Linked DNA regions of Notamacropus eugenii. The protein of the gene in region 1 interacts with the protein of each later gene in a pairwise test. Links are inferred from orthologs where the notes say so. Each region holds a gene or a part of one and is shown on either strand. Other genes may lie near its edges.

Region 1 (7,526 bases):
TTGCCAGGGTAATAATTCTAATGCAGCAATATGGTAAAGTCATTCCTCCTCTACTCCAAAACCTTCAATGGCTCCCACTGTTTAAACAATAAAATCATAACTCTTTAGTCTGGCATCCAATGCCTTCCAATAACTGGTCCCAATTTTGTTTAGCCTTTCTTCTAGAATTCTCCAACACACATGCCAGTTCCTTCAATGCCTTCCAAACGTATCTTCTGCATTCCCATCTCTATAACTTAGCTCAAGTCATTCCTCTCACCTGGACTGCCCTCTTCCATTAATTCATTAAAATCCTACCCACCCTCTTCCATGAACCCCATCCCAAGTTCACGAAGCTCTCTTCTTCTGAACCTGGACAGTGAAACTCAGTGTCTGCCCCACATTTTAGGCAATGGTGGCCTCATGATGTTAAACCACTTTCTGTGCTTTAATTTTGTTTCTCCTTACTAGCTTCCCTTAAGTTCTGTAAGGCTAGGATTGTACCCCACCTTCCTCTTCCTTCTTCCTAACTTGGGGCAAGGCAGGAGGATAGCACTGGTGCTAGGCATAACAGGTACCTTGTAAATGTTTGTTGCAGCAAGAAATGGGGCCTACAAAGGACATTGCCCCCACCTGGAGATAAAGAGTTCCTTCCCCAGGGTAGGCTAAGCATAAGGGAATCAGCATCTGGTCAGGGTCTTTTAGAAAAAGGGAGGGAGGGAGAGATTGGCATCAGGTTATCTGCTATAAAGATGCTAACGGTTAAACGGCAGTATGAAGGAGGATGAGTTACGGACCATGGGTTGACACTTTTTGGATCAGTTTTATTTTTAACAAATGGTATTAATACACATTGACAATAAAAGTTACAAAAAGACCATCTTGGTGTTACAGAGGTCAGGGAGCAGAGGAAAAGGGAGAGTTCTGTCCTTAAGCCACATCAGTAAATCCAAACCAAGGCCCTGGGCACATGTGCTCCTTTCCAGGTACTGCAACCCATTCCATATCCAAGGCTGGCTTGGGCTCTGGACCCAGTTCCCCTTTGTCTCCCCCCAGGCTCCTCCCACCCAGTACTTGCCATTGATCAGCTCCAACGCCTCCTCTTTGCTCCGAGTGATCTTCTCCTGCCGCCAGGATGAGGGCCTCCGAGACTGGCTGTGTTTCACCAGCAGGTGTGAGCATCGGACCTTAGCAGGTTCACCTTGACCATTCTTGCCCACACTGCTTGGACGCTCCCACTGGCTGGCATTGGTGATGTGGTTGAAGTAATAGACTCGTCCTACAGAGACAGAACAGGAATGTGTAGCACACGTTACATTGGGCTTTACACACTTAGAAAGTGGGGAGGATAGGGGTACACACTGAGGCTGAGGTGAAACAGAGGGCATACAGGTCACCCTAAGTCATACAAGGCAGACAGGTAGGAAAGCACTGGTTACCCTGGGCCATAGAAGCAACAGAAGCCACTGGTCATCCTGGGTCTTGGGAAGTACAGGGTGGGATGACCCTGAACCATAAAAGGGGCAAGGCAGAACAGGGTGAGCACCTGTCATCCAGAGCCACAGAAGAGGCTGGGTCACTCTAGACACTGAGGGGGGAGGAGTAGAGAAAGTACCAGTCACTCTGGGCCTTGAGTGGGGTGGAGGAAGGAGAGAAAGCATTAGTCACCCTGGGCGTTGAAGGGAATGGGATGAGAGCATAGGGTCATTTTTGGCTTTTTGTGGAATGGGAGGAGGGACACTGATCACCTTAGGCTTTATGTGGATGGGGTGAATACTAACCCTTTGGGCCTTACATATTGGAGTGAGGAACATCAATCACCTTGGGCTTTACATGGGGGTGGAACACCAAACACTTTAGGCCTTATGGCAAAAGGAAGCAGGGATCACCCTGGGCCTTACGTGAGGGGAGCACCCCTGATCATCCTGGGCCTTACATGGGACAGGGTGGTGGAGAGCACCCGTAACCCTGGGCTTTATGTAGGGTGGGAAGCACTGATCACCCTGGTCCGTATGTGTGTGGGCGAGGAAGGGAGGGGAATGAGGAGTACTAATCCCTCTAGTCTTTATGCTGGGAGCATTGATCACTCATGTGGACCTTATGTGGGGGGGAGATGGAGCACTGGTTACCCAGGGCCTTATGTGGGGGGAGGTTGGAGCAGTGATAACCCTGGGCTTTATGTGGGGTAGAAGGATGAGAAGCATTGATCACCTGTCCTCGGACTTAGGAGAGACTACTCATCCCCCTTGGTCTTGGGGAGGGCAGCACTGATCCCCCTGAGCCTTATATGGGGGGAGGGAAGCTGGAGGGAGGGGAGCTGGGGGAGGGTGAAGAGCACTGCTCTCGTAGGCCTTACGTGGGGGCAGAGCACTCATCACTGGGTCTTGGGGAGGGGAGCACAGACCCTCCTAAGGTGAGGGAAGGGAAATACTGTTCCCCGTGGGCCTTATATGGGGCAGGGGGATGGGGAGCAAAGATCATTTGGGCCTTATGTGGAGAGGGGGAGGGGAAAGCACTCTTCACCCCTGGTCTCGGAGAGGAGAGAATCGATCCCCCTTCTGTGGGGGAGAGCACTGATCCCCTTGGTTCTTATGTGGGGGAACGGGGTACTGATCGCCCCTGGGCCTTTACAGGTTCTGGGGTTCCTTCGATGGGGAAGGGCGAAGGACACGAAGGGGCCCGGGGAGCCCAGCCCCGTTCCCATGCCGGGGGTCCAAGGCCGGCCCGTTACCTGGCCTCCTCATTTCCTGGGGCGGGGCTGGGGGGTGGGGGAGAACTAATCGCGCGGGGCTATCTTTACAGGGCCGCAGGCCGTGGGATGATGGGGAAGGGGTGCAGGGCCCGAGCCCGGGGTGTCCGCACTCATTCTTCTCCTCCCGGACCCAAGCGCGCCCTCCCTCCACCCCGTGGCACCTGAGCTGCGGCTCATGCGCTTCTCCCAGCCTGACGGCAGCTTCTCTTCGTCCGCCATCTTCCCTCCTGCCGCAGCACCCGCTCCGCCTCCGCCCCGCCGCCCCCACCGATTGGCTTAACGCCTCCCGCACCGGGCCCTGGCCGTGTCATTGATTGGCTGTTCCCACGGCAAGGCCCCACCTCTGGCCTCCTCACTTGCTGCCAGAAAGGCGCGGGGGCGTTGCCTCTTGTCACTCAGACTCCGCCCACAGACCCTGCGTTCCCTAACCCACCCCTCTTCGAGCCCAGCTCCGTAAGTGGTGGAATGAGGAACAGAGGCCGCTCCTCATTATGGCCATTGGTCACAAATAGAAAGACCACCCCTTAACTTCCGCTTCTAGCTTTAGGGCATCCCCTCCTTCTCGGAAAGAATGCCGCTCGCTGATTGGCTGCTGGACCTGTAATTCCCTCCTTCTCAACAGTTCTCTGGGCCTTCGGGTAAGGAAGCAGCACCAGAAGGGCGGGGAAATTGGAGCCCCAGAGGAACCGGAGGCCTGATGCTCTGGGCGCGTTGCTATGTTACCTCGTTGCCATGGTTTTGCTCAGGCTCGGGACCCGCATCCTGGGCTCAGTTCCATTCAGAGAAGTGGGAGGCGCAGCCCTCTGCCCAGCTCTCTGCTCGATCCTTGTTCAGCCCTCTACTGGACTTTAACCAGCCTTCTTCAGAGTCCTTATCTTGCCTCTCCCCAGTTCCCGTCCAGTTCTTATCAGGCCCTCTGCCCAGCTCTTGTCCGGTTACCTGCTAGTCCTTATCCTTTGCCCGGGTTTTGCCCTATCCTCGGCCAGCCTTTTGTCTGCACCTCACCCAGATCATGCCTAGCATTCCTCTGGTTATCCCCATTTTCTTGTCCTGTCCTTTGCCCAGCCTTTGCCTCTGCCCAGTCTTCTGCTTTGTCCTCCCCAGTCTTCTCCTTTGCACTTCAGGTCTTTTCTGGCTCTATTTTCTTCACAGTCATTTGTTTAGTGAGCAGGGCAGTGTTAAACACTGAGATATGATATGTGGTCAAGAAGCTCTCTCAAAGTTTCTGGGCTCACTCTACTAGATTTGATCCTATGGAACTGACTCTCCGTAGTCCATTTCTCTCTTTGCCTTGATATACCTTAACTTGGAGTTCTCCAGGTAAATCTCTAAAATAAAGCTTAGGCAGAGTTCTCCCTCTTAGTTTCCCCAAATGTCTCATTTGTACAGTTATTTGTACATTGTTTCTCTCATCAGACTGTAAGCTCCTTAGGAATAAGCACTGTTTTTCCTCCAGCACTTAGCACAGTGTCTGGCATATAGTAGGAGCTCAATAAATGCTAATTGATTGGCAAAGTTTCCAACTCGCACTCAAACACAAGTTATGCAACAGACTTGATTTCCCTCACCAGAGAAAATGCCTAAGATGCAAAGGACTCACAGAGGTCCATGAGCAAACAGAGAAACGTACATCACTCAAATAACCTGTTAGACTCATGAAAACACTTTGGGGGTGCTGTTGAACAATCTCCCTTCACATTGGACCTGTGCTGATCACACAGCTCATAATAGTGGAACTAAAGAGGTCCAGACCTCTTCCCACCCTCCTCAAATGACTTCAATACTTTATTTGCAGGATGAGCCTCTATGTTATCGGTCCTCTTATGCCTTCCAGGACAGTATTGAGGAAATCTCCCTCCTATGCCCAAATTTTAAACTTAAGGAATCTTCAATTTCAGGCTTGTAATGTGCTTTTCTTATAGGTTGCTCTTTTCTCCTATTGCTTGTATTTTAGTTTGGAAGATCAAAGAAAGCGCAAGAAAAGGAAGGAACTGAACAATTTCACAGATCACTTTTATAGACTATGGTGAAAGTGCAACTATTCTGACTCTCAGTTACCAGTTATCTTGGAGGTAGCCCTAGTCACTGAGAACCAAGCAGAGGAGTTTCCTTCTCTGCGTACCCTCAACAAGACACTGAGAAGTGTATTATATACATACATACATACATAAGTGGTACACATATACTCACAAAATCTCTCATGGTTTTCTGTGGGAAAGATGGAAAGATATGGGATACATAATAGTACAATTAGGTGAATTAAAAAGTGATTGAAAGGCCAGACCAGAAGAATTAATAGTTCATGTCTGGGTATCAATTCAGAAGTAAGTCTCCAGCGGAATGTCCCAGTGATTTATTTGTACTTAACCTTGTGCTTTTTAAAATTTATGGGGTTTTAAATTTTTTATTCTGAACTTAACAAACATCAAATAAAATGATTGTCTTCATAAAGGACAGAGAGGTTTATACAGGAAACTGAATGTCTTCTTTTTTTATATAATTTCACATGTAGCTTTCTAAGCTGTTCTGCTTAATTTATATTCCTTCTGACCTTCCTTATTTTCTCCTCTGTTTGGGGGTAAGGAGGGAATCTTATCTCCATCTTCTCTCTCCCTTGCACCTTCCCCCTTCCAGTGGAAAAAATATCCATAGCTTTTGTAACATATCCATAGCCAAGCAAAAGAAATTCCCACTTTAGTCATGTTTAAAAATTTATACACCTTGAGTTCCTCATTTCTCTGTCAGAAGGTGAGGTGATATGTTTCTTCATTAGTCCTCGGGAGTTATGGTTGTTCATTGCATTGATTTGAGTTTTTAAGTCTTTCAAAGTTGTTTTTTCTTTGTGATGCAGTCATTGTATTAATTACTTTTTTGATTCTACTCACCTTATTTTGAATCAGTTCATACAAATCTTCCCAAGGTTCTCTGAAACAATCCATTTCAGCTTTTCTTACAGTCCAATATTATTCTATTACATTCATATACCATAATTTATTCAGCCATTCCCCAGTCAATGGACACCCCCTAAGTTTCCATTGCTTTGACACTTCAAGAAGAACTGTAAATATTTTTATTCACATAACTCCTGTTCTTCTTTCTTCCATCTTTTTAGGACATAGGACTATATGTCTGGTAGTGGTATTGCTATCCTGTACTGTTTTTATTGATGACTTGAATAGATGGTCTGCTTATAAAATTTGCAGATGACACAAAGATGGGAGAGATGACTAATACAATGAATGACACAGTGAGGATGCAAAAAAGATCTTGATTGGCTAGAGTATTGGACTGATTCGATGAAGATAAAAATTTAAAGTAATATGCTTGAGTTTAAAAAAATCAGCTTCATAAATATATCATGGGTAGGGAAGAGGGTGGGCTAAACAACACTTCATCAGATAAAGATCAGGGGTTTTAGGGAACTTGAAACTTATTTAACAGAAGACCACAGTGTAATAATATGGCACCCAAAAAAGTTAATGCAATCTTAGGCTGCATTGAGGAGTAATAATGTCTGGGAGGTGATAGTCCTATTGTATCATAATACACAATAGCTATACTCCATCTAGGAAGGAAAACAAAGAAACAAGAATTTATTAAGCATCTACCATGTGCCGGAGCCCTGTGCTAAGTACTTTACAAACCTTATCTTGTTTGATTCTCACAGCAACCCTGGGAGATAGGTGCTATAATTATCAATCCCATGTTATATCTGAGAAAACTGAGACTGATTAGTTGGTTGGCTGTTGTCCTTTGTTTTTGAGGAGAACCAAAATGACATCACCATGATAAAGTGAAGTTTCAGTGTGTCTGACTGTGGCTGATCAGACCAACACAAGCTCGAAATGCTGTTCTACAGATTGGGCACAGATAGTCCATGTGAATGTTTGGGTGGATACTCCAAATTTGCACATCCTACGTTTCCTTTGTGCTGTCTCAATTCTGCTTTGCTCATAGAGCACAGCACCTTTTCTGATGTGGAAACTGAGGCAGACAATGGTTAAGTGATTTGTACAGGATCATCCAGTTAGTAAGTGTCTGATGCTTTATTTGAACTCATCTTCCTGACTTCAAGCCCAGCACTCTCTCCACCATGCCACCTAGTTGCCCCCAGAGTATTGTATTAATTTCTGGGTGCTACATTTTAGGAAGGACCTTGCTAAGCCAGAGGAAGTTCAAAGTAAGGCAGCAAAAATTTTGAAGGGCCTTGAGATCATACTATATGAGGATCAATTGAAGGATGCTTAGCCTGAAGGAAAGGAGATTTATGTGGAACATGATAAGAATCTTCAAGTAGCTGAAGGGCTACCAGGGAGTAGATTTGTTCTGTTTGACCCTAGAGGACAAAACATGGAGCAATGAGAGGAAGTTTCCCAGAGTCAGATGTAGGCTTTTGATGTCAGGAAAAATTTCCTAATGATAAGAGCTGTCCAGAAGGAGAATGGATTTCCAGGAGGAAGGAGATTCTTCCTTACTGGAGGCCTTCTAAAAGAGGCTCAGGGGCCACTCATTGGAAAACCACAGCACTGGCAAGATTCAAAATTTAACCTAAGGGGGAAAGAAATGAAATATTGCTCTGAAATATGAAAATTAAGAAAATAGGAATTCGGCTCCATCTCTACCTGCATTTGGAAAATCCTCTGTTCTCAATTCATCAGCCTTATTCATAAGACTCAGATGATTGATTTTTTTAGTGGTGACATGACTTGCTTTTTTAAAAGTCACATAGTCAGGTTAATAAAGGTAAAGAACCTATCATATAACCAAAGTATAGAGGAACTGGGTTTTTCCTATC
Region 2 (7,969 bases), on another chromosome or scaffold:
CTCTGAATTTGGAGAGGAAGTAGAAGCAGGGGAGCATTTTAAAGAAGATTTTTTTCCCCTCAAACAATGTAACCAAAGCATACACTGGTCTTCATCATCTTCTCCCTCTTTCTCCTATTTTCCCTTTCTCCTATCCCCTCCTCCCTCTGCTGCCTTCTTCCTTGTTCCATCTCTCCCACATATACCCCTAGACATCACACACACACACACACACACACACACACACACACACACACAGGCAGAAGAATTTTCTCCTAATCCAGAGGATCAAGAGTCTGGACACTGAACATTGTCACAAAAAAAGGCTGGGTGTTTGGGTTCTGTATTGTATCTCACAAAAGCCAGATGTAGAGTAGATGGGAAAGCAGTGTGCCTTCCTGGTCTGGGGCTAAAGGGGTAGGGGAGGCAGCCTGTTGTCTAGTCTGACTCCATCTCAGAGCCTATACTCATCAGGGCCAAGTCATGGGACTGGATAATTTCTATTTGCTAACAAGTCCAAGCCATCCCCACCCCCAATCCATTGAAACCAGACTCCTTGCATCACAGAGGGAAGTCAGATACTATCATACAGAACCATTCATTCCCAGGCACTTTCTGCTCAACTGAGAAATAAAGAAAACCTCAGGAACCCAGAACCTGTGGAATCTTCAGCCAGGAAGGGGGGCTTAGATATCTTCAAGCCCATCCACCTCTTATTTTAAAGATGAGGAAACTGAGGCCCAGAATGGACTTGAAGCTACTGGAAGAAAACCTATATGTAGGACCTGTTGCAAAAGAAAATGCATTTCAACAGGGAGCTGTGGGCATTTTGCCATCTGAATAGAAATCTGCGTTTCCACAGTGATCAGAGAAAACAGATAAAAATAAATAAATAAAAGCCATTTACAATGTGTGTCTGGAGAGGGTCGTGGGTGTTTCCAAGCCACTGCTGTGTTTCTAGCCTGGCTGGCTTAACCATTGGAGGCTGGTGGAGCCCAAGCTGGAGCTGCAGTGTTCTAAGGGTTCTTTTGCTGGGAAGACCTCTTTAATATGGCTGGATTGTAATACTGCAGTGCTAAGGTTCTCCAGCAATAAAAGAAAAAAAAAAAAAGATGCTCAGCACCCAACTTCAGGGTGCTGGAAATATATCTGGCTGCCTTTGCACCCTTCTATAGATGCTGTTTCTAATAAGATTGGCTACATACAAGAGCCTGGTCCCGTTGCACCCCACCCTCAGGGCTTCTGGGGTAGGAAAGCTGGTGCATCTCCCCCTTCTCCTGCCAGCAGCTTTGTGAGGAAGGGGGCCCTCTGAAAGGGAACAGACCTTCTGAGGCATGGCTGAGGAGGGAATTAGGGGGATTGAAGATGACACACCTCTCTGCCAAGCCTCCCCTCGATTTCCAGCTCAGTCTTTGCAGTGATGCTTAATCCAAAGGAATCGTTTTATCAGAGATAATCAATCCACTGTCTTCCCCCTCCATTCCAAACTACCCCCCCCAAAAAAAGCTTCTGGAAAGCACTGACCAGATACCCCTGTGACAGCTCAGAAAATTCGGGTGCCCACCCACCCAAGCCTCTACTCAAATCTCATGAAGCCAATGCATAGCGGTCTCCCTGCAAGGTTACGCCTAATTGGCCACTAACCTAATTGATTAATCATCTAATTTCCTAGGAGGCTTCAAGATACAGACTGAGGGGTGGGGATAAGCCTGAAGCCCGCATTTCAGAGGGGGGAATGGCAAAGAGTCCCCTGCACGCAGGCTGCAGCTCTCCCTGCCCGCATGTTCATCTCGGGAAGGAGGGGATGGGGCTGACTAGAGCCAAGGATCAGAGCGCAGGGAGAACGACCGAGTGGTGCCTCGATTTCCTCCCAGGCGAGGCTCAAATCCCAGGCAAGTTGCTCCCCTCCAGCCCTGGAAGGGTTACTCTGCTCGATGTGGTCACACCGCCTGGGCTTCTCCTGGCAGACCAGGGAGCTTTCTCCCACTCCTCCAGTGAGACTCAGGGTCTGGCTCCCTAGCGCTCCCTTGGTCCCCCCACCTCCGCGTAACGACCAAAGCCCGTCCAAGCCCGCTGCTCAGCTTCGCCTGGCTAGAACAGGAAGCCCTGAGCCAGGACGAACTTGGCCTGGCCGAAAGGGGCTCCGGGGCCACCAGGCAGGCTGGCTGACAGCCTTCGGAGTGGGAAACAAAACTTTACCTTCAAGTGCCGCAGCCAAGCATCTCCCCCACTGCCCACCCCCTGACCCTGAGTGGCGCAAGGTCCAGCCATCGAGAGCTGCCCCCATCCCTCCCTAGGCTGCGGACGCCAGACTGGGAGGGGGGCTGCTCCCGCCCCCCACTTCACCACCACCTCCCCCCCTTCTCGCTCTTTTCTTGGCCGCCTCCACCCACCCCTCCCCGCTTCTGAAGCCTTCTCCCGAGGCGCCCGGGCTCCCCCTCGCCTTTGCCAGGCAGTCGAGGAGAGCAAGGTGCCCAGAACCCAGACGGGGCAAGACAAATCCCATTTCGCGGGAGGAGGAAGGTCTGAGAAAGAGGGCTCTGGGGAAGGGGCACGTCCCCCCGCCTCCAGGCTGCCCCAGGCTCCCACCCGGCCAGTTTCCCACCTCCGCCCTCCTACCTTGAGCCGGCACTGCGCTCGCTGCTCCAGCCTCGCTCCACTCATCCTCTTGTTGCAGGGGCAGGAGGGAGGGAGCGACTGGCCAGCTCTCCCCGATTCCCCCAGACGCTCAGTTCATGCCGGGCTAGGATTCTGGAGGGGTCCCTCTTCCCGGGCTGGGCGTCCGAGGGATGCCACGTTGGTCCCTCCAGAAGAAAGACTTGGGCACGGCGTCTAAGCCCAGAATATCCTCAACAGTTCCCTCCCAGAGAGCCGCAGCTCGAGCTCCAGCTACTCAGAGGCAGCCGCGGAGACAGAGCGCCCGAGCTCCGCAGGCCACATCTTTCATACGCTATACATCACTACCGCATTCCCCCGAATAGGGGAGCCCCTCAGCATTTCGTCAGCCAGCTGGCGCAAGACGTGGGCTCCTGGGCTGGGCGCGCTCCCCGCGCGGGCCAGACCGCCCCCCACCCCCACCCCAGGCTCCCCCGAGAAGCCGGGGCGAGGAAGGATGCAGCTGCTGCCTCGGGAGCCAGGTGGGCCTGGGAGAAATGCCTGACACGCGGGAAGTCCTGAGCCCCACCCCCCCACACCCCCTGGGTCTGGTGCCAGCCTAAGGAGGCTTTGGCCTCTGGGCACCGAGACCCTGGGGAAGTATAAGTGAAGGACCAGTTTCTCTAAAAGCCCCAGAGATTCTCCAGGTGTCAGCGAAGGAGAAACCCCTAGCAGCGCCCTCTTATAGGCAAGATAACTCTGGGCTGAAATGCAGCCTCTCATGCTTACTACCTGTGGGAGTTATTTCATTCACCTGAGCCTCAGTTTCATCATCTGTCAAATGAGACCAGGTGGGCTCGGAGGTCTCTTACCTTAGAATGTCTATCGCGAGGGCCTAAAAGTCAGAAATAATGGGGTTCAGCACTGCCTCAAAGGCTTACTAGCTGTGTGACCCTGGGCAAGGCAAGACAAGTCAACCGGCACCCTTAAGTGATTACTAACTGGCCCCGCGTTGTGCTGACCCTGGAACTACAAAAAGGGGGGAAAATTACTGCCCTCAGAGAGTTTGCAGGAGTCACAAACTCTCTGAGCTTCAGTTTCCTTATCTGTAATATGAGAGGTGTGGCCTCTGAGGTCTCAACTCTAAAGTGATGATCCTATGATTCCTAACCAACCTGACACCCCCCCCCCAAAAGAGTATAAAATGTGATGACACAAGACTCCTAGTTCATTTCAGAGAGAGAGAGCAATTCCACCTCTTTGTGACCCCATTTGGGATTTTCTTTACTGGAGTGGTATGCCACTTCCTTTTCTAGTTCCTTTTACAGGTGAGGAAACTGAGGCAAACAGAGTTAAGTGACTTGCCCAGGGTTACACAGCTAGTAAGTATCTAAGGCTGGATTAGAACTCAGGCCCAGACTGACTCTAGGCACAGAGCTCTATCCACTGAGCCATCCAACTGCTTATTGACTTCAGTAGGAAAGCTTATTAAAGACTTTGTATTCTCAGCTTTTTGCATCCTACCTCAGCACTGACAGTATAGCTTTAAACATGCTAGATGCTCAAGCATGTCTTGATTGGTTAGATTCACAAGAATTTTAGATTGATCTGGAAGGAGATTTTAACCAAAAATGTTAAAACATAAAATGTAAAATGACAGCTCTAGAAATCACCTTACAATAAGTACAATAGATTATTCATATTGAACTTTAAGGTTGTAAAGAATGTTGTTCTGGGTAAAGAGATGACCTTCAATGTGGGAGGACCTGGGTGCATGTTGCATCTATGAAACACAATGCTGTGTGATCCTAGACAAGTGACTTAACCTCTCTATTATCTCATTCCTCTCCAGAATGAACTCCATACTTTCTCTAGCATGTTTATCAATATTCACCCTGTTTGCTTCATAAAGATCACTCTTGACTTTGACAATACCTCTTGACTTTCTTCATGGGTGTAGGATGTGTTCAGGGACGAGCAGTACCTTTGGTGTGATGGCTGCTGAGCCCTGTTTGCGGCTCTCTCCACCTTTGGTGTTCACCTATTGCACTCAACTCTCACCTGTAGCTCCAAAAAGTTTCAGCATGCACAGTGGCCACACTCCTGTAAATCGTTTCAGCAGATGGGCCAAACCAAGATGAGGGTAACCAAAGGGTCTCAGACCCATTGGTGAATTAGGGGGGTGTCTACCCCAAGCATGTGAAGACTTCCTCTGGTGGAATGGGCAGATGAGAACAATTTGTTCTAATGGCCATGAAGGCAGATGCAGCAGGCAATGTGGAGTGCTTAGAGCTTGGAGCTTGGACACTGAAGATGCCAAGGTCATCCACTGCATCTTGAACCATAGTTAGCTGCCTTGACCAGTGGACTATAATGATTCTGGAAGAGAGAGTGAGGTTGACAACTTCATGAAACTCTGCCTCACTTAAATCCAATTTATTCATGAATCAAAAGACATCACCCATACCATTTCACTATTATGCCTCAAAGTTGGGTGACGATAGGCAAGTGATGAAGCAGCAGGTGTGGAAACACTGGGAGCTGTAGTCATGACCCTGAACATAGGTGGCCCAGTCCATAGGGTCATTTCTCACTAGTAGCAGCAGTGGGACTCAACAGCCCCCTGGGTGCCTGAGCAGCCTTTTAAGGATCGCACTGCTCACCTCCTGGTGTAAGCAAGGGGGCTAGAAAAGGTACCCTAAACATTGTCTGCTTACCCAACCCTGGCCTGATTACCATGGTAGGTAGGGAATCCCACTCTGTGGTTGAAACACAAAAAAAATGTACAAAATGTACAAAAACATCTGCAAAGATGATTCCCCTCATCATTGGCACATGGAACGTGCACACATTTATAGGCAACACAAAATCCAGTAGACCTGAAAGACAAACTGCTCTTGTTGCAAGAGAACTCAACAGGTGTCGTACCCAAATAGCAGCCCTGAGTGAAACAAAGTTGGCAAATGAAGGCCAGCTTATTGAAATTGGAGCTGGATACACCTTTTTCTGATGTGGGAGCAGTGAAGGGGAGTGCTGTAAAGCTGGCGTGGGTTTTGCCCACTAATCTAGTCAGCAAACTGGCATACCTGCCAAATGGAGTGAATGACAGGCTCATGAAAATGTGATTGCCACTCGCAGGAAAATGCCATGCCACCATCATCAGTGCTTATGCTCCCACCATGATGAACCCTGATGAGGTCAAAGAAAAGACCTAGAGACCCTTATCATCAATGTGCCAAAAGAGGACAAGATTATAATTCTGGGTGACTTTAATGCTAGAGTAGGTTCAGACTACCAGACTCGGCAGGGAGTCCTAGGGAGGAATGGAATTGGAAACAGCAACAGCAATGGTCATTTCCTGCTGAAGACTTGTGCATCGCATGATCTTCTCATCAATAACACTGTCTTTTGCTTACCTAAATGCAATAAAACTTCATAGATGCACCCTCTCAGCAAACACTGGCATCTAGTAGATTATGTGACTGTAAGGAGAAGAGACAGAGGATGTGAGAGTGACAAAAGCAATGTGTGGTGCAGAGTGCTGGACTGATCATAGACTTATCCTTTCCAAGGTAAATATTCACATTCATCAAAAGTGCCACCCCCAAGGCAAAATGACTGCCAGAAGAATTAATGTCAACAAATTAGAACTCTTCTCTGAGTGTGAACAGTTTGTTTCTAACTTGGAGGGAAAGGTGAGTCAGCACATAGTTGGCAACAGTGGAGCAGAAAAGGAGTGGGCAGCTCTCAGAGATTTGGTGTACAGAACTGAATTTATTCATCTGGGTCAGAACACTCACAAACACCAAGACTGATTTGATGAAAATGATGGGAAAATTCAGAAGCTGCTAAAGGAAAAACGAGAACTCTACAGGATATACCAGCAGGATAATTCATCCACCTCTAAGAAAGCAGCATTTAATTTCACCAGAAGCAAAGTACAAGCAAAGCTTAGAGAGATGCAGGATTCCTGGTTCAGTAAGAAGGCAGATGAAATTCAGTTTTATGCTGACAGTAACAATCCAAAGTGCTTTTATGATTCGTTGGAAGCTATTTATGGACCAAAACCTATAGTGCATCACAACTACTCAGTGCTGATGGAGCCACATTGATTAGTGATAAAGACATTATCCTAGAGAGATAGGCTGAACACTTCCATGTTCTAAATAGACCATCATCCATCAATACTGAGGCCATTGACCGTTTACCTCAGGCTAAAGTCCTTAGCTGAACTTCCAACTGAAGAAGAGGTTTTGAGGGCCATTAGACCCCTTTCATGTAGCAAAGCACTTGGTGCGGATTCTATTCCAGCTGGAATTTACAAGATAGGGGGACCATTGCTCATACAAAAGCTGACTGAAATTTTCCAGTTTATATGGCAAGAGGAAGTTATCCCCCAGCAATTCAAGGATGCTTCCATTGTCCAACTCTATAAGGGTAAAGGGAATAGATTATCCTGTGACCATCACAGGGGAGGGAGTCTCTCTCTTAGTCAGTGCTGGCAAAATTTTTGCTAGAGTCCTCCTTAATAGGCTGATCCTTCACTTGAAGGGTGGTAACATACATACTAGATGTAGCCAGCATGGCTTCAGAAAGGGCTGAGGAACAGTCGATATGGTGTTTGCTGCCCAACAACTCCAGGAGAAATACTAGGAGCAGAACAGAGGTCTGTACACATTTGTAGATCTGACTAAGACCTTTGACATGCTGGTCATAAGGGCTTATGGAAAATTATGTCAAAATTTGACTTCCCAGAGAAGTTCATCAGTATTGCATGTCAATTTTATGATGGCTTGTTTGTCTGGATTTTGGATAGTGGACAATGCTCTCCTACCTTTCCAGTCACCAATGGAGTGAAACACGACTGTGTGCTTGCTCCCATGATTTTTAGCATGATTTTTTTTCAGCCATGTTATTAAATGTTTTTAATGAAGATGAACACAGCATCAAGGTCAACTACCATGCCGATGGTAAGTTCTCCAAGTTGTAAAGTCTACAAACCAAGACCAAAGTGGAGTGAGTGTCAGTGCATGAGTTTTGGTTTGCAGTTTCTGATTGTGCACTCAATGCAGCCTCTGAAGTTGAGATCCAACAAAGGATGGATCAATTCTCTGCTGCCTGTGCTAATTTTGGCCTAATAATACATACCAAAAAAACACAGGTGCTCCAACAACCACCACCACACCATACATACATGGAACCATTGATTACAACAAATAGAGAAGTTTTAAATGCTGTGGATAAGTTCACTTACCTTGGGAGTGTACTTTCCAGGGATGTACACATTGACAATGAGGTTGATGCATGCATTGCCAGAGCTAGCTCAGTGTTTAGGAGGCTCCAAAGAAAAGTTTGGGAGAGAGAGGACTACCTAACTGAAGGTCTATAGAACTGT
Region 3 (6,619 bases), about 71 Mb from region 1:
CACTAGTCCAACCCTCCTCCTTCCTTCATAAAATCTGTATTGATGGGGAACAGCAAGTTACTCTAATCCTTTTGTATGGTGACCCTTCAGATACGAGCATCATGTCTTAGCAGCATCTCCTCGTTGTCAGAATGGGGCACTTCCGGCCTCTGCATGAGGCAGCTGTTTTGATGCAGTCTCAGTTAGTGGGCTGCCATGCTCCTCTGTTGACCCAGATGGAGCCTCTGGCCGTTTCACTCCCAAACCTCCTCTGGTCATTCTCTTTTGGAGAAGATACCCCAGGGGATTGCATTGTGCCTGGGCCAGTCTGGGCAGGTGACTCCACCTCGGTGTTGCTCTGGCCAAGGGAGTGTGCCCATCTGGGAGTTGTCTGAGCCACAGCCTGCAATTTTCAATTAGCCTTCCCTCTCCTTGACAGGTGGGCATCAATTACCAGCCCCCCACGGTAGTGCCTGGTGGTGACCTGGCCAAGGTGCAGCGGGCCGTGTGCATGCTAAGTAACACCACAGCGATCGCAGAAGCGTGGGCACGGCTGGACCACAAGTTCGACCTGATGTATGCCAAGAGGGCCTTTGTCCACTGGTATGTGGGGGAGGGCATGGAGGAAGGTGAATTCTCGGAGGCCAGAGAAGATCTGGCAGCTCTGGAAAAAGATTATGAAGAGGTGGGCGTCGACTCGGTGGAGGCAGAGGCCGAGGAAGGAGAAGAGTACTAGGGGGCAGCGTCACTTCCCACCCCTACAAGTATACCTGATTACATAATTTGTTTACAAATAAACATTTCCGTATTAAAGCAGAGTTTGACTCCTGCCTGTAGATGCCACTTTACTGGAATCCCAAGACCACAGATGCTTGTCTTCATGAGAGGCATCACCCTACTGTGTGGCCAGTGAGGGTTGGGGGAGGCCCTGCTTGGGCCACTGGGACTGCTGGGCTAGGTGGTGGTAGCAATGACCTTCTCTTGACAAAGACCTCCTAAAAATAGGGGCTTCCCACTGCTTAGTCTGCTCAAGCTTTTCTGGGACAGGCTTTTCTGCCCCAACCTAAGTCCACTGGAGAAAAAGGGAAACGGGATGCCAAACCAGCTCCTTACATGAGGGTGGAGAACCCCTGTAGCCCCCTGAGATAACAGCCCAGGATCAGGCTGGAGCCTAAGTGGCTTGGCTCTGTGCAGTCATGCTCAGAACCACCAGAGGGTGCTCCCGCCTCAAACGAGAGCAAAGGGAAGTCTTGTGGGTTCACAAGGCCCTGCTTGGGCCTTGCCAATGACCAGGTGGTGGAAAGAGCTTGAGGTCTGGAGTCAGAAGAAATCCTGGTTCCGTGCTTGCTACCTGTGTCTCCTTAGGCAAGTCCCGTTCTCTAGGCCTCAAATCTCCCTTTGTGCCATGTGATCTCTAAGACTCCTGAACTCTGTGCCCGCAAAGGGAAGCTCCCCAGAGTGAACTCTATAGCTTTTGGCCACTGTGAGGCCCACAGCGCCTTCAGAATAATGTTTTTACATGCATGAAAGAAAGGATTCCAAAGGAAACCTGTTGGGAGGCAATCAACATTTTTTTAAGTTTACAGACTCCAAGTTAAGATCTCCATGGATATGTGCAGGGACCTGAATAACCAATAGAACATAAATTCCTTGAGGGCAGGCAGGAGTTTTTCACTTTTGCCTTGAGTTTCCAGAGCTTGCGTGAGGGTATTCACTCAGGCCCCACTTGAGGGGCAGTCAGGCCACTGTCCCTTCATGGGGCTTCTTCTTTGCCATTGGCTGGAGCCTTCACCAGCTTTGTACACATGTACACACACACACGTGCACGCACATGCCCTACCTGTTAAGGGGCCAGTTTCATTTAAACAACATTGATTTGTTGTTTAGTCATTTCAGTTGCATCCAGCTCTTTATCACCCCATTTGGTGTTTCCTTGGTAGAGATATTAGAGTGGTTCACCATTTTCTTCTCCAGCTCATTTTACAGATGAGGAAACTGAGGCCAACAGGGTGAAGTGACTTGCCCAGGGGTCACACAGCTAGGGAGTGTCTGAGCTTAAGTCTTCCTTACTCTGTCTGGTGCTGTATCTACTGCAGCACCACCCAGCTGCCCTAACATGAATTAGTTTTTACAAAAGGATTTTTACTTCCATTCAGCCAGGACAAACATACAGACAGTTCCCCTAAAGTCAGCAGGGCATACTTTACTCATCCCACCTGGGTCCATAGACAGCATTTGTCTGCCCTAGTTCATGTCCAAAGGCATCATTTCTGCTGGAGGAGCCTGTCTCCCTTCCGGCGGGTGGAGGGTCTCCTGGCCCTGAGGCTGGTTTGGCCGCAGTGCTCCCCAAACTTCTGAGAGTCCCCTCCCTTCACAGGATGCCGTGAGGAAAGGAGCCACAGGTCCCTCCAGCCGTGAAAGAGGCTACCAGGCCTCCAGGAATGTCCCAGTAGCTGGCTTTGTTGCCTCATGACATAGCTAACCAGAAGCAGCAAGAGGGTGTTTACACATTTGAGACACTGACTGCTAACTATGGATCACATTGTCATGATTGTCCCAGAAGCAGCTCCCCAGGTTCTCCACGTGGGGTGGCACTGTCTGGAGGGACCTGGGCACACGCTGCATTCCCACTAAATAAGCATCGGTTGACTGGACTATTTTTTAAAGATGTGAAGCAAGAGCAGATGAATGCAGAAGCATGGTTGGCAGAGGCGATGAGCTCGTGTCCCCTAGCCTTCTCTTCCTGAAAAAACAGAACTGAAGTGGCTGATAATGCCTGAGATGAGCCGGGAGGTTGGATGAGAGCTTTGTTCAATTAACGTCAAAGGGCCAAGCTGATGAACTGCCTTCAGTAAAATTGTCATGAGGTCGCTGGGTGGATGGAGCACTAAGTCTGGAATCAGACCTGAGTTCAGATCTGGCCTCAGACACCTACTAGCTGGGTGACCCTGCGCAAGTCACTTCACCCTGCCTCAGTTTCCTCTTCTGTGAAATGAGCCGGAGAAGAAATCGACAAACCACTCCAGTATCTGCCAAGAAAGCCCCAAATGGGGTCAGAGTCAGACAGGACTGACCTGAATTCCTAGTTATTGTCCCCTTGAAACGGCATAAAGTGGGGCGGGAGAATGGATAAAGGGGCCAGGGCCCACCACGTCACGCAGCATTAAAGATCAGTGAACGTGGAGAAGGGAGTGGCAGACAGCAAAGCGCTGCGGGCCGAGATTCTGACCACGGCCTGAAGGGGTGGAACCCTGCCTACACGGGAGGGTGCGGGCAGCACGCGTGGGGCTGCCAAGAAATGGAAAGGGGGCACTTCTCTCACAGTGGAACAGGCCTCTCCCCCTCACTCACGATCTCCAAGGGAAGCCCCATCACGTTTTACAGTCAGGGAAACTGAGGCACTCCAAACGCAGCCCTCTCGGCGGACCAGAAGGGCCGACAGGCAGCGGCTGGGTGGATGCAGGGCTGGACCTGCAGTCCAAACGCTTCTGGACCCATCCCCGTTTCCAGCTTCCCAGCGTGTGCTCTTCTCGGGTTAGACCGCGCCCCTTGATTTGCATTTGCACCCCCGGCGCTCAGCCTGAGCAGGAGCCGGATAAGTGATTGTTGGCACATGGGTCACAGCGCCCCTGCGCACCTGCCCTCCAAGGCGATGGCGCGAAATAAATGCCCTCCTGAGACTCAGTTTCCCCAAATCTAAATCGGAAATATGAACTTCCCCGGGGAGGTGGGGGAGGGACGAGGGGAGGGGCTTACGCGAGGGACGACCTTCCCTCAGGCCGCACCCGAGCCAAGCACCGATCATTCCCGCCGGCCCCGCCCCAGACCCTCTGATTGGCAGAGACCTTTCCCCTCCCACCTCATCATCACACAGCCCCGCCCCCTCCCAGTCAGCGCCAGCCTTCCGAGCCTCGCTCTCTCCCCGCCGCCGCGCTGTATCCTGGGTAACCCGGCCACTAGCTCGTCTCACTGCGCAGGCGCGATCCCCGCCCCCTCTCCCGCCGTGTAACGGTGGGCGCGCTCTCGCGAGAGCACGTCAGCGGCGTCGCGATGGAGGAGCCGTGAGTGCGGCCGAGGGGGAGAGGGGTCGGGGGCGGACCCGGGAGGGGAGCAGGGGGCGAGGCCGGGCGGAGGGGAGGGGCAGGGAGGGTCGGGGCGGCGCGGCCCGAGCGGGCCGAGGGAGGACGCCCCGCATCGGCTGAGGCCACACCCTTCCATCCTTCCTCCCGCAGATGCCCCGGCACTGCTCGGCCGCGGGCTGCTGCACCCGCGACACGCGTGAGACCCGAACCCGCGGGATCTCCTTCCACAGGTGAGCGCGCCCCCGCCCGACGGCGCCTGCGCGAGCGTGCGCCTGCGCGGGGCGGGGCTGACGGCGTGGGCGGGTACTGCGCCTGCGTGGGCACGACTGGCCTCGCCTCCAGCAGGGGGCGCTGGGGGGCGGGGGGGAGGGGAGGGCGTGGGTTCACCTGCCCTGGGAGGCTTCCCCCAGGCCCCTACTGCTTGTGCGGCGGACACTGCCCCAAGGACTAGACGGGCCTGCCGTCTAAGGGAGACCTGAGGGCCTACTGTGTGTGGGGGGAGGGGAAGGGGAAATGCCAAATGATGGGGGGGGCGGGGCCCGCACCAAGACTTGGCCCAGGGCCCTTCTCTTTGACCACGTGGCCGCTCAGACCCCGCCCTTGGCCTTCCCTGGGTGTTTCATCTCCAGCCTCCGAGCCTTTGCCTTGGCTGAGCCTTTGCCCTGGCTGTCCCAGTTTTGCATGCCCGCTCTCCGTCCACCCGTCTGACCCCCCCCAGACGGACCAACCCCATAGCTCGGTCTGTCCACCCTGGGCAGCGGGCGCCGCTGTCGCCCTCATGTCACATATGAGGCCGCAGGGCGGGGGCACGCAGCTGGAGGAGCCCCAGTGCAGACCCCATCGCCCTGCTGTGCGCCCCGGGGGTGGGCTGGGGAGCCCCGCCCTGCTAAGGGCTGCGGGCGGGGCTCCCCTCAGGCTGCCCAAGAAGGACAACCCTCGGCGCGGACTGTGGCTGGCCAACTGCCGGCGGCTGGACCCCAGCGGGCAGGGGCTGTGGGACCCCGCGTCCGAGTACATCTACTTCTGCTCCAAGCACTTTGAGGAGAGCTGCTTCGAGCTGGTGGGGATCAGGTAGGCCCCGGGGGCGCCAGGGGCGCTGGGGGCGGGGGGGCGCGGCCGCCCGCGGCGCTCACCGGCTCTCCCTGCAGCGGGTACCATCGGCTGAAGGAGGGAGCCGTGCCCACCATCTTCGACTCCTTCTCCAAGCTGCGGCGGCCGCCCAAGGCCAGGGCGCACGGCTACCCCCCGGGCTCCCCTGACCTGGCCCGGCTCCGGAGGCGCAGGCGCCGGTATGTGTGCCCAAGGTGGCCCCCTGGGGTGGGAGGGAGGGAGGGCTGAGAGGAGGGGGCGGGGGGAGGGGCAGAGCCCTGGCCGCGCCTGACGCTTGCCCCCACAGCTGCCAGGCCGGGAGGGCACCCCCTGCCCCCGCAGACACCTCCCTGGCGGACGGGCCCGCCCCCGCAGACGTCCCCTGCTTCCCTGGGGAGGAGCCGCCCCCCGAAGGCCCCCCGCTGAGCCTGCCAGCCCTGCCTCCGTCGCCGGCCCCCAGCGGCCTCGTCAGCCCCTTCTCCGACCTCCTGGAGCCGCTGGAGCCCCACGGGGACGCAGCCAGCTGCGGGAGCCCGCCGTCCCCCGAGCGGGGGCCCTCGCCCTCGTCGGCCGCCCGGCCCGTGTCGCCCTCGGCCTACATGCTGCGCCTGCCGCCGCCGGCCGGGGCCTACATCCAGAGCGAGCACAGCTACCAGGTGGGCAGCGCGCTGCTGTGGAAGCGGCGGGCCGAGGCCGCCCTGGACGCGCTGGACAAGGCCCAGCGCCAGCTGCAGGCCTGCAAGCGGCGGGAGCAGCGGCTGCGCCTGCGCATCGCCCGGCTGCAGCAGGAGCGGGCCCGGGACAAGCGGGGCCAGGCGGAGCGGCGGGCCCTGGAGCCGCAGTGACCGCGTGGGCCCGGCCAGACCTCGGACCTAGGACCTCGGACCTGGCGGGAGCCCCGGCCGGACCTCGGACCTCGGACCTGGCGGGAGCCCCGGCCGGACCTCGGACCTAGGACCTCGGACCTGGCGGGAGCCCCGGCCGGACCTCGGACCTAGGACCTCGGACCTGGCGGGAGCCCCGGCCGGACCTCGGACCTCAGACCTTGGGGCCGGCGGGGCTCTCCTTCCGCCCACCTCCCCCGAGCGCAGGCGTCTGCCCCTGCCTGGGTCCGGCCCAGCAGCCAGGGGAGGTGGCTCCTCCCGGGGCGGCAGAAGAGAAGAGCCAGCAGAAGCCAGGGCTTTGTTCACTTGGCGCAGCAAACCGCTCCTTGGTGGCGACTAAAGACGCTGGAGACCCAGCTCCTCGCCAGGCTATTGAGGCCCCTCTCCTAGGAGGGGCAGCTGGCAGTGCCCACCGCTTGGAGCTCCAGGCGGACTTCATTGAAGGCCATCCAGAGAGGAAGTGATCAGTATGGCATCACACAGGCAGGATGGACGCACCACCCGCCTTTCTCAGCACACATGAAATCCGTGGTCATTCTTCCCACGAGCCTCCTGATGGGGTTTATTCTTTCTGAGAAGCCATGG
Region 4 (7,874 bases), on another chromosome or scaffold:
GCTGTCATTCTCATTGGTAGCCCTCGATCCTCTCTGCTTCTCAGATACAGGATTTGCAGCTGAAAAAGGACAGTTAATCAAGAAACAGAGGCTGAGGAAGCAAAGACTTGGCCAGGGTTACTCCGCTGGTCAACGAAAGAGCTTGGATTGGAACAGGGAGCCAGAGAGAAGGGACCAGGGAGGAAATGTTACCCATCATCTAACCCACACCCTCATTTTATTTTCTTTCAAAATGTTTTATTCAGTCAATCAAAGAGCATGTTTTATTTTTAATCCTTTTATTCTGAGGCTAATGAATACGGAAAAGAAAGGATGTTTCCGGATACAAAAGAGGATGAGATGTGGCCCCACACATCTCTGTTATGTACAGCTTGCTCTTTTTAAAGGTATTCGAATACATCCAACATGTTACCCTCAGAGCTGGCCTTCTTGTCAAGGGCTTCCTTCTGAACTCCTTCCCTTCCCAGCTGTGCATTATGAAAGCTGCCTCAATGACCCTCTTTTAGTCCTTGAGGGGGTCATATTTGTCCCCTCCCTCCAGAATCATCACCCAGGAAAAAGGTAAAAAACATCTTCCTTGTTAAGCAGTCAAGCAGAAGAGAGCTGTATGTGGGCCCGGGCCCTAAAATGTAGGTCTCCGTTTGCACCCCCTTCTGTCAGCAGCGGGGTGACCTGCTCCATCATTGGCTTCTGGATCTGGGGCCTCTTTGTGGTCATTGTGGAAAGTGTTCAACCTTTCTGACTTTGCCAGGAGCTAGAAACAGCAGGTGGGACCGCCCCTATTCCCCTATTCTTTGGGGGGGAGGCAATTGTTTCTCTTTCTTCCTCTGTCTCTCTCCCCTTCTCTCTGTCTTTCTCTCCTCCCTTCTTTCTCTTCTTTTCTCCCTCTTGCCCCCTTCTCTCTCCCTTCTCTCTCCTCTCTGTCCCTGTCTCTGCCTCTCTGTCTCTCTATCTGTCTCTCTGTCTCTCTCTGTCTCTCTGTCTCTCTCCCTCTCTCTGTCTCTCTCCATCTCTCTGTCTCTGTCTCTGTCTCTGTCTCTGTCTCTCTCTCCCTCTCTCCCTCCCTCCCTTTCTCCCTCCCATAAAACTCAATTTCTAAAAATCCCCAAACCCTTCCTTGGAACAAATAGATGTAGTTGAGGCGAAGCCTCCAGGTGTTGCCTTTGCGTGACAGCTTATGCCTTGTTCCACACCTGTTCTCCGCCACCTCTGCCGAAGGAGAGGTGGTCCATCTGCCGAGGTCACAACGGGAAGTGGCTTCAGTCTGAGGACTGAAGTCAGTCTCCACGCCTTTCTGGGTCTTCCCCACCTCTTGACACCCTCCTCCCCCATGCACCTCTCAATTATTTCCTGTCCAACCCAGCGTATATTCCGTTCCATCCATACCCAATGTTCTGTTCAGCCCTTCCCTTCCTCAAAGGACCTTCCCTTCTAGCTTTTTGCTCCCCCGGAAAAGGGCTTCTTTAGGAAGGGTTCGGGCACAGAGGGGACCTTCTCCTCTTGTCTTTGAGCCTCCTTTGGAAAGTGTCGATGTTGAAGGATCTCTCTCTCCATCTTGGGGTATCTTCGATGGCTTTCCCTGTGCCCGCAATGCCCTCCCTCATCTCTGCTCCATCCCCTGTGCCCGCAATGCCCTCCCTCATCTCTGCTCCATCCCCTGTGCCTGGAATGCCCTCCCTCTTGGTCCCCACCTCCTGTCTTCCCTGAAGTCTGTATGAAATCCCTCCATCAAGTAGCCTCTCTCAGTCTTTCTTAATCTTTGAGCTTTCTGCCTGAGAACGCAGTTGTTTGTGTCTGCATCTTGTTTGTATTCAAAGAGATGGCCCCTGTAATAACACACCAACAACCTTGTTTGTACAGGGCGGGGACCGACTTTGGCCTTTCTCTGGATCCCCAGCAGCTAACACAGCACCTGCACATAGTAAGCGCTTATGAAACGCTTGTTGACGCAGGAAGGCGTTTCTGATAACAAATGCCCCTTGGCCCCCATATTGGAGAGGGAAGGGTTAGTCTTCAAGGGGCCAAGTGGGCTGCTCTTGGTTTACCGGAGAGGAAACAGAGGCCCAGGGAGAGGCTAGGCACTGGCAATGCTGGCAGTCAGACCCAGCTTCCAAAATCTTAGGAATGTCAGACGGGAAAGAGCCCTTGGTGGCTCTTGGCTCTCGAGGCCCAGAGATCCCGGCCCTGACGCCCTCTCTTTCTCCTCCTCCAGACATTTCGAGGGCTTTTGTTTTGGCTAGGTTGGGGGCCGTGCTGTACTGTGGGTTATGAGTTTAGATAAAACCCCAGTTCTGGCCCAGACGTCGGGTCCTTTGGATGTTTTCTAAATCTCTGGCTATTTACCTGGCTTTGTAAGTCCTTCCCATCAGCAGCATGGGTGCCAATCTTTTTGTGGTATGTCCTTCACTCCCACTCGCTTCCCCCTGCAGTGACTCCAGTGTATACTTTGGCTCAGCCTTTGTTCCATTGCCATCTTCCCCCTTTTCCTCTTTCTTCCCAGCTCTCCATTGTCTCAGCCTTGCCATCTTCTAGACCATTTGACTGCCGTACGAGGTTCCGATCACTTGTGGGGCTCTCGATGTTGGGTGATACAGATGTTGCTGCCACGTACGTCTTTAGCATTCCATGTCATTTTCCAGTTATGCCAAATCAGCTTGCCACTCTCTGCCTCAGTTTCCTCATCTGCAGAATAAGTATAACGATAGACCTTACTACTCTTTAGGAGAGGAGTGTTAAAAAAGCTTTTCTAAAGTGGTGGGCCTTGGGAAGCCCCTGCTTTTGGCGGTCCTACAGCCAGGAAATCTCCTCCCAGCAAAGTTGGTTGATTTCTATGTGATACTACTTAGAAAAATCAATGATGAGCCTTCAGAAGTTGTTGGGGGGGGGGGGGAGGTTCCGAGGTGTAGTTAATGGCCGGAAATGACCCTGGGGAGAGGACAAAAGGACTCCTTCATCCTCCTTCTGAATACCTGATTCCTTTGTGTTGGATGAGACCATATGCAGATAACCCCCAGCCTGGATGAAAGTAAGTCCCTGCCCCCCTTAGGCTTTTGGAGGGGGAGAAAGGGGAAGGGGAAGGGGCTGGGCTTCTCTCCCTCACTCACTCCTCTGTGGGTGCAGGTCCTCAGTTGGTCTGTGGCCTCCCTGGCTCTGTTGGTGCTGCTCTCACACCTATTAAGGGCACAGAGATCCTCAACCACAAGATTGAAGCTATGGGATGTAATCAGCTGTCAGCAGCCAGGCTCCTGAATGTCCTTCTGCTGAGATTTCTAGTGTCCTATGTCTGGCCTGATGAGGGCAACACTTTGGATTGTTCTTGTAGACGGTCACACAGACAGACCCAGTTTGGTCATTTTCCTGTGCTCTGTTGGCATCCATTGCCCTACATCTCTATGTAGCTGGGCTGAGTGGTGGGTTTTCTTTTTTTAATTTTCTGGCTAAATAACACATTTTTTCAACCTAATCAGAGCCCTTTCCAATCTAGGAAACTGAGGGCCACAGAATGGATGACCTTCCTAGCCTAGTGTCTGGACGTAGTAGGTGCTTAATTAATGCTTCTGGGATTGGATTAGGGATAATTGAGGAAAGAACCTGAGCAATGGTCTCATTCTGCCGATAGAATGGAACCCTTGAGAGCAGAGCCCATTTTTCTGTTTCAAAGTCCCAGGGGGCCGTGAACTTCCCAGGTAAGGGCTTGTGGCCAGTAGCTTTTTGTTTTCCCAGCCTGACAGGAAGCATGGGAGAGTGGGACCCTTTGGCACACAGCAGGTCCCAGCAGACTTCGGGGACCTTGGGGTGGCCTGAGCACCTGCCTCTGGATTAGGATGGCTGAGGAGTTTTGGCTGCGGCATTGCTTTCTCTCTACCTCAGTTTCCTCATCTGTAAAATGGGAGTCATAATAGCATCTCCCTCTCCAGGTTGTTGGAAGAACCATATGAGACATGTAAAGTACTTTGCAAACAAATGCTAGCTGTTATTTTTGGTGGCGGCAGGGTAGAAAAAAAGAAGGGAAAAAGGAAATTTGCCCAATAATTTTGCTGTATGTTCGAAACGAATAGCAATGGGTTTAGTTGACTTATAGTTTCACGTACAATTGTCTTTTTATTGTACTGTGTTATGGACATGCTTATTGTATTCCATAAATATGTATTAATGTAAGATTCACTCAATATTTCTTCTCCCTCTACCCACCCCCCAGTCATCCTACATATTTTTTTGGAAAAAGGCAAAAAACCCCCAAAACCCTGAAAACAAATAAAACAGATGATCAGGCCGTTGAAAAGTCTGAACGATCTTTGGCGTGCCCACCTCTGCAAATCCATAGGAAGGCTGTGCCTTCTCCAGTGCGGTCTCTGGGGCCAGCCTTGCTCTTTGTCTTTGAATGTTAGCTGTCAGTATTACTGTACACTTTCTTCTCCGTTGTTCCCCTCCAGCCCGTCTTTTGAAGGTGAAGCTGGGAGAGAGAGAGGAAGTGACTTGCTTAGGGTCACATAGCTGGTAAGTAGGTGCTGAGGCCCAATTCCTGTCCAGGTCTCCTGACGCCAAGTTAAGTTTCTCCCTCTACATGAGGTTTCCTGGACTTCTTTCTTTCTTAGCGTTTGCTCCCATTTACTCCCACAAAGCCTTGCTGGTTGACCGCTGTGAACCTCTCCTTTTCTAAGGAAGCCAGGCCTATCCGTAGGAACAGCAATCTCCTCTCTGATAATTAGAAACCCAACCTTATTGGTGGAGAGTGTCTTTGGGGGATGACTGGTAACAATGGAGAAAACGTACTTAGGTCAAATATAGAAACAGAAGTCACTCACTAACTCCCTATTTTTAGATTTCATGTATATAAAAGCAGAATAGAGGCTGACCATATATTTTATTTTGTTTTTAAGGAAGTTGAGCTGATGGGTTGAGGGTGGGGCCTGGGAGAGAGGCTACTGAGCCATGGAATTCCAGGGATGACTCTCAGAAGCCCTAGCCCAGGGCTTGGAGGATCTGGGAGTCACTCAGCAAAGGAGAAACTGACTTTGGATGTTCAAGATTCCAAGGCTTGGGTAAGGAATGGCTCTCATTGAAAATGCCTGCGTCTGTCAGAATGGCCTCCAGAGAAGGTTGTCGCTCAACCCTGGTTTTGTTGATGTTGTGTTAGGGATTCTAATCCTGTTAGGATGTCTGCTCCTAAAAAGGCCCCAAAGTTAAAGGCAAAGAAACGGGTGAAAATGTGTTGTTCGGGACCCCAGGAGGCTGCCATTTTGTCAGCTTGGGATCTCTGTGCCTTCCTCACCCTCTGGCAGTCAGAGTCTGTCTAGAAAGGCCCCAGTGGGCTCAGTCTATGGACTTACTCTAAGAAATTGAAATTTGACAAGACATCAGGCCTTAAACTTGTTTTTAAAAAATTCATTTCTTGAGTTTAAAATAGGGGAGTCATGGCCAGGCGGCTGTTATTCAGAAAAAAGATCTCCGTGTTTGGATGGACTGACTACAAGTTCAGCATGGGCTGCAGCTGGGGTGAGCATTTCCTCCACATTTTACCTCAGCTTTCCTGGGACAGCCGTTAAAAGTGTAGGAATGTGGCTCCTGAATGTGGAGTGGAGAAATGGAGTGATTGGGCCCAGGCAGCACAGTGGCCCACTTCAGACAATTGGACAAGCACTGAACCCCACCCCCTTCAGTTTTCTTATCTTTAAAATGGGTATAGTAATAGAGTAGCCAACCTCACAGTCTTCAAGCATCAGATGAGAGAGAGAGAGAGAGAGAGTGTGTAAGGTGCTTTGCACGCTTTAAAATGCTGTTCTGCCTGCTGGTTCTAAGGTTATTCCAGAGGGCCCAGGGGCCACTGTCTGGAGTTGAACCCAAGGGTCCTCCTGTCTGCTGAGGGAGGATAGGAATCTCCCCTCTAAGCTGGGAGGCCTGGTGGGAATTTCTCCAGGTTCTGAAGTGTTGCCTGAGGTTCGTTGGGAGGCAGAATTGTCCTTCCCCAAAGGCTGAAGCCTGAAAATGTCTGTGTTTTCCCCTCGTGCCCTGGCCTGATCAGACTTTGGCTCTGCCCTTTCCCTGATGACCTGTCTCCTGCCACTGGGTTTTCTGAAAATTTCTGCAAAGCAGGGAGGGGCAGAACTGGCATTTAAGCGCCCAACTACTATGTGCCCAGCACTATGCTAAGTGCTTTAAAATATCTCATTTGATTATCAGGACAGCTCTTCCAGGTAGTGGCTATTACCCCCATTTTACAGTTAAGGAAACTGAGGCAGTCAGCAGTTACATGACATGCCTAGGATCACTTAGCTAGTGAATGTCTGAGGCCGATTTGAACTCAGATCGTCCTGACTCCAGACCCAATCCTCCAGCTTCAAGCTGACCCCGTGGAAGGAAGGCCAGCATCTTGGATGCTGAAAAGGGCCTAGGAGGCAAGCAAATACAGCCTACACCTGGGCTAGACTCTCCTCTGAGCCTCCTGGGGTCATCCAGTCTTTCCTTTAGGCTCTACTGCAGCTAGGTGGTGCAGTGGATAGAGCACCAGTGCAGGAGTCAGGAGGACCTGAGTTCAAATTTCACCTCAGACACTCGACACTCACTAGCTGTGTGACCTTGGGCAAGTCACTTAACCCCAACTGCCTCATCCTGGGTCATCTCTAGTCATCCTGATGAATATCTGGTCACTGGATTCAGATGGCTCTGGAGGAGAAGTGAAGCTGATGACCTGCTCAGCCCTCCCTCACTCAAAACAAAGTCAAGTGCAAGTCATGTCATCATGTCTCTGATGGCATGGTCTTCTTCGGCAACGAAGGACAAACACACGCTGCCCAGGCAGTGAGAAGAGGAGTCATTTAGATAGGTGTGCTGTAATCATCCCCATTTTATAGCTGAGGAAACTGAAGAAAACAGGGTTAAAGGACTTGCCCAGGATCTCACAGCTAGTGTCTGAAGCTGGATTTGAATTCTGGTTTTCCTGACTCCAGGCATGGTTCTCTAAATGCTGCACTACCTAGCTGCTCTAGTATCCTGTACAGGGAACAGGAGATGGGCCCATCTGGCTGCAGTTCATTATGGAGTGAGCTTGAAGAGAAGGGAGTAGAGGGAAAAATCAGTCTGGTGAGAAAGGCTGACTAAACTATCATTCGTGGACATAACTGCTGGGACAACTTTTTTTTAAAGTGCTTGTGAGTGGGGGTGAGTAGTGATGCCTGGGTGGTGAGTGGGGGACGGAGAAACCTGCACGTTGGGAGGTCTTGTGAACATTCCAGAGCTCTCAGACGACTGGTACATGCAGTTCTGCGGCTCCAGGTTTTTCTGAACAGGGAGGAGGTGGGGAGAGGAGAGGAAGGAGGGGGCAGTGAGCAGCGATCTCCCATCATGCACCTTCTCCCCTCCCAGCTTCTCCAAGACATTTTACAGCAGGTGCTAGCAAAGACTGCAGCGACTTGACCTGGGCTGGAGATTAGAGATGGGATTTGAACTCAGAGAACCTGAGATCAAATCTGAGTTTTGACGTTTACTATCTGTGTGACTTCCGACAATTCCCTTAATCTCTCATCTGTAGAACCAAGGGGTTGGTTGGGATGGGCCAGCTGAGAACTGTGTGGTCTCATGGCCCCCCCTCCCAAAGAGCTTCGGTTTATGTGGGTTATATTTACTGATGCTTCTTGTATTTGAAATTAAAATGCCTTATCATTATTATAAATAAGTTTGATGTAGAAGAATCTTGGGGACCCCCCCAGACTCCACTTTGAGAATCGCTAGCCTCAGTCATCTCTAAGACCCCCTCTCCCTCTCAGTCTTGGATCCTTTCATCTCTCTGCGCCTTGGATACTTTCACTACTCACGTCTTAGAACGTTGTAAGAATCCCAACTGCTCTTAGGAATACCCCACATCGGAATTAGCCAAA

The links.
Region 2: the proteins of PIN1 (region 1) and DAB1 interact in binary tests that used the Homo sapiens proteins (3 or more experiments, as listed by UniProt). The two-hybrid records come from large-scale screens. The link is inferred for Notamacropus eugenii from reciprocal best matches to the Homo sapiens genes PIN1 and DAB1.
Region 3: the proteins of PIN1 (region 1) and THAP7 interact in binary tests that used the Homo sapiens proteins (3 or more experiments, as listed by UniProt). The two-hybrid records come from large-scale screens. The link is inferred for Notamacropus eugenii from reciprocal best matches to the Homo sapiens genes PIN1 and THAP7.
Region 4: the proteins of PIN1 (region 1) and RBPMS interact in binary tests that used the Homo sapiens proteins (3 or more experiments, as listed by UniProt). The two-hybrid records come from large-scale screens. The link is inferred for Notamacropus eugenii from reciprocal best matches to the Homo sapiens genes PIN1 and RBPMS.

What each region holds. Positions count from the first base shown.
Region 1 is NC_092875.1:80,258,777-80,266,302, reverse strand, and holds the start of PIN1 (peptidyl-prolyl cis-trans isomerase NIMA-interacting 1), read right to left. Parts: upstream 3,018-7,526; 5' UTR 2,951-3,017; coding exon 2,893-2,950; intron 1,259-2,892; coding exon 1,058-1,258; intron 1-1,057. UniProt on the Homo sapiens protein: Peptidyl-prolyl cis/trans isomerase (PPIase) that binds to and isomerizes specific phosphorylated Ser/Thr-Pro (pSer/Thr-Pro) motifs.
Region 2 is NC_092873.1:518,367,083-518,375,051, forward strand, and holds the start of DAB1 (disabled homolog 1), read right to left. Parts: upstream 3,006-7,969; 5' UTR 2,599-3,005; intron 1-2,598. UniProt on the Homo sapiens protein: Signaling adapter of the reelin-mediated signaling pathway, which regulates the migration and differentiation of postmitotic neurons during brain development.
Region 3 is NC_092875.1:9,169,165-9,175,783, reverse strand, and holds THAP7 (THAP domain-containing protein 7), read left to right. Parts: upstream 1-4,461; 5' UTR 4,462-4,581; coding exon 4,582-5,132; intron 5,133-5,209; coding exon 5,210-5,350; intron 5,351-5,457; coding exon 5,458-5,995; 3' UTR 5,996-6,116; downstream 6,117-6,619. Other genes in the region: tubulin alpha-3 chain, read left to right, coding at 419-715. UniProt on the Homo sapiens protein: Chromatin-associated, histone tail-binding protein that represses transcription via recruitment of HDAC3 and nuclear hormone receptor corepressors.
Region 4 is NC_092878.1:167,536,665-167,544,538, reverse strand, and holds the start of RBPMS (RNA-binding protein with multiple splicing), read left to right. Parts: upstream 1-4,867; 5' UTR 4,868-4,946; coding exon 4,947-5,042; intron 5,043-7,874.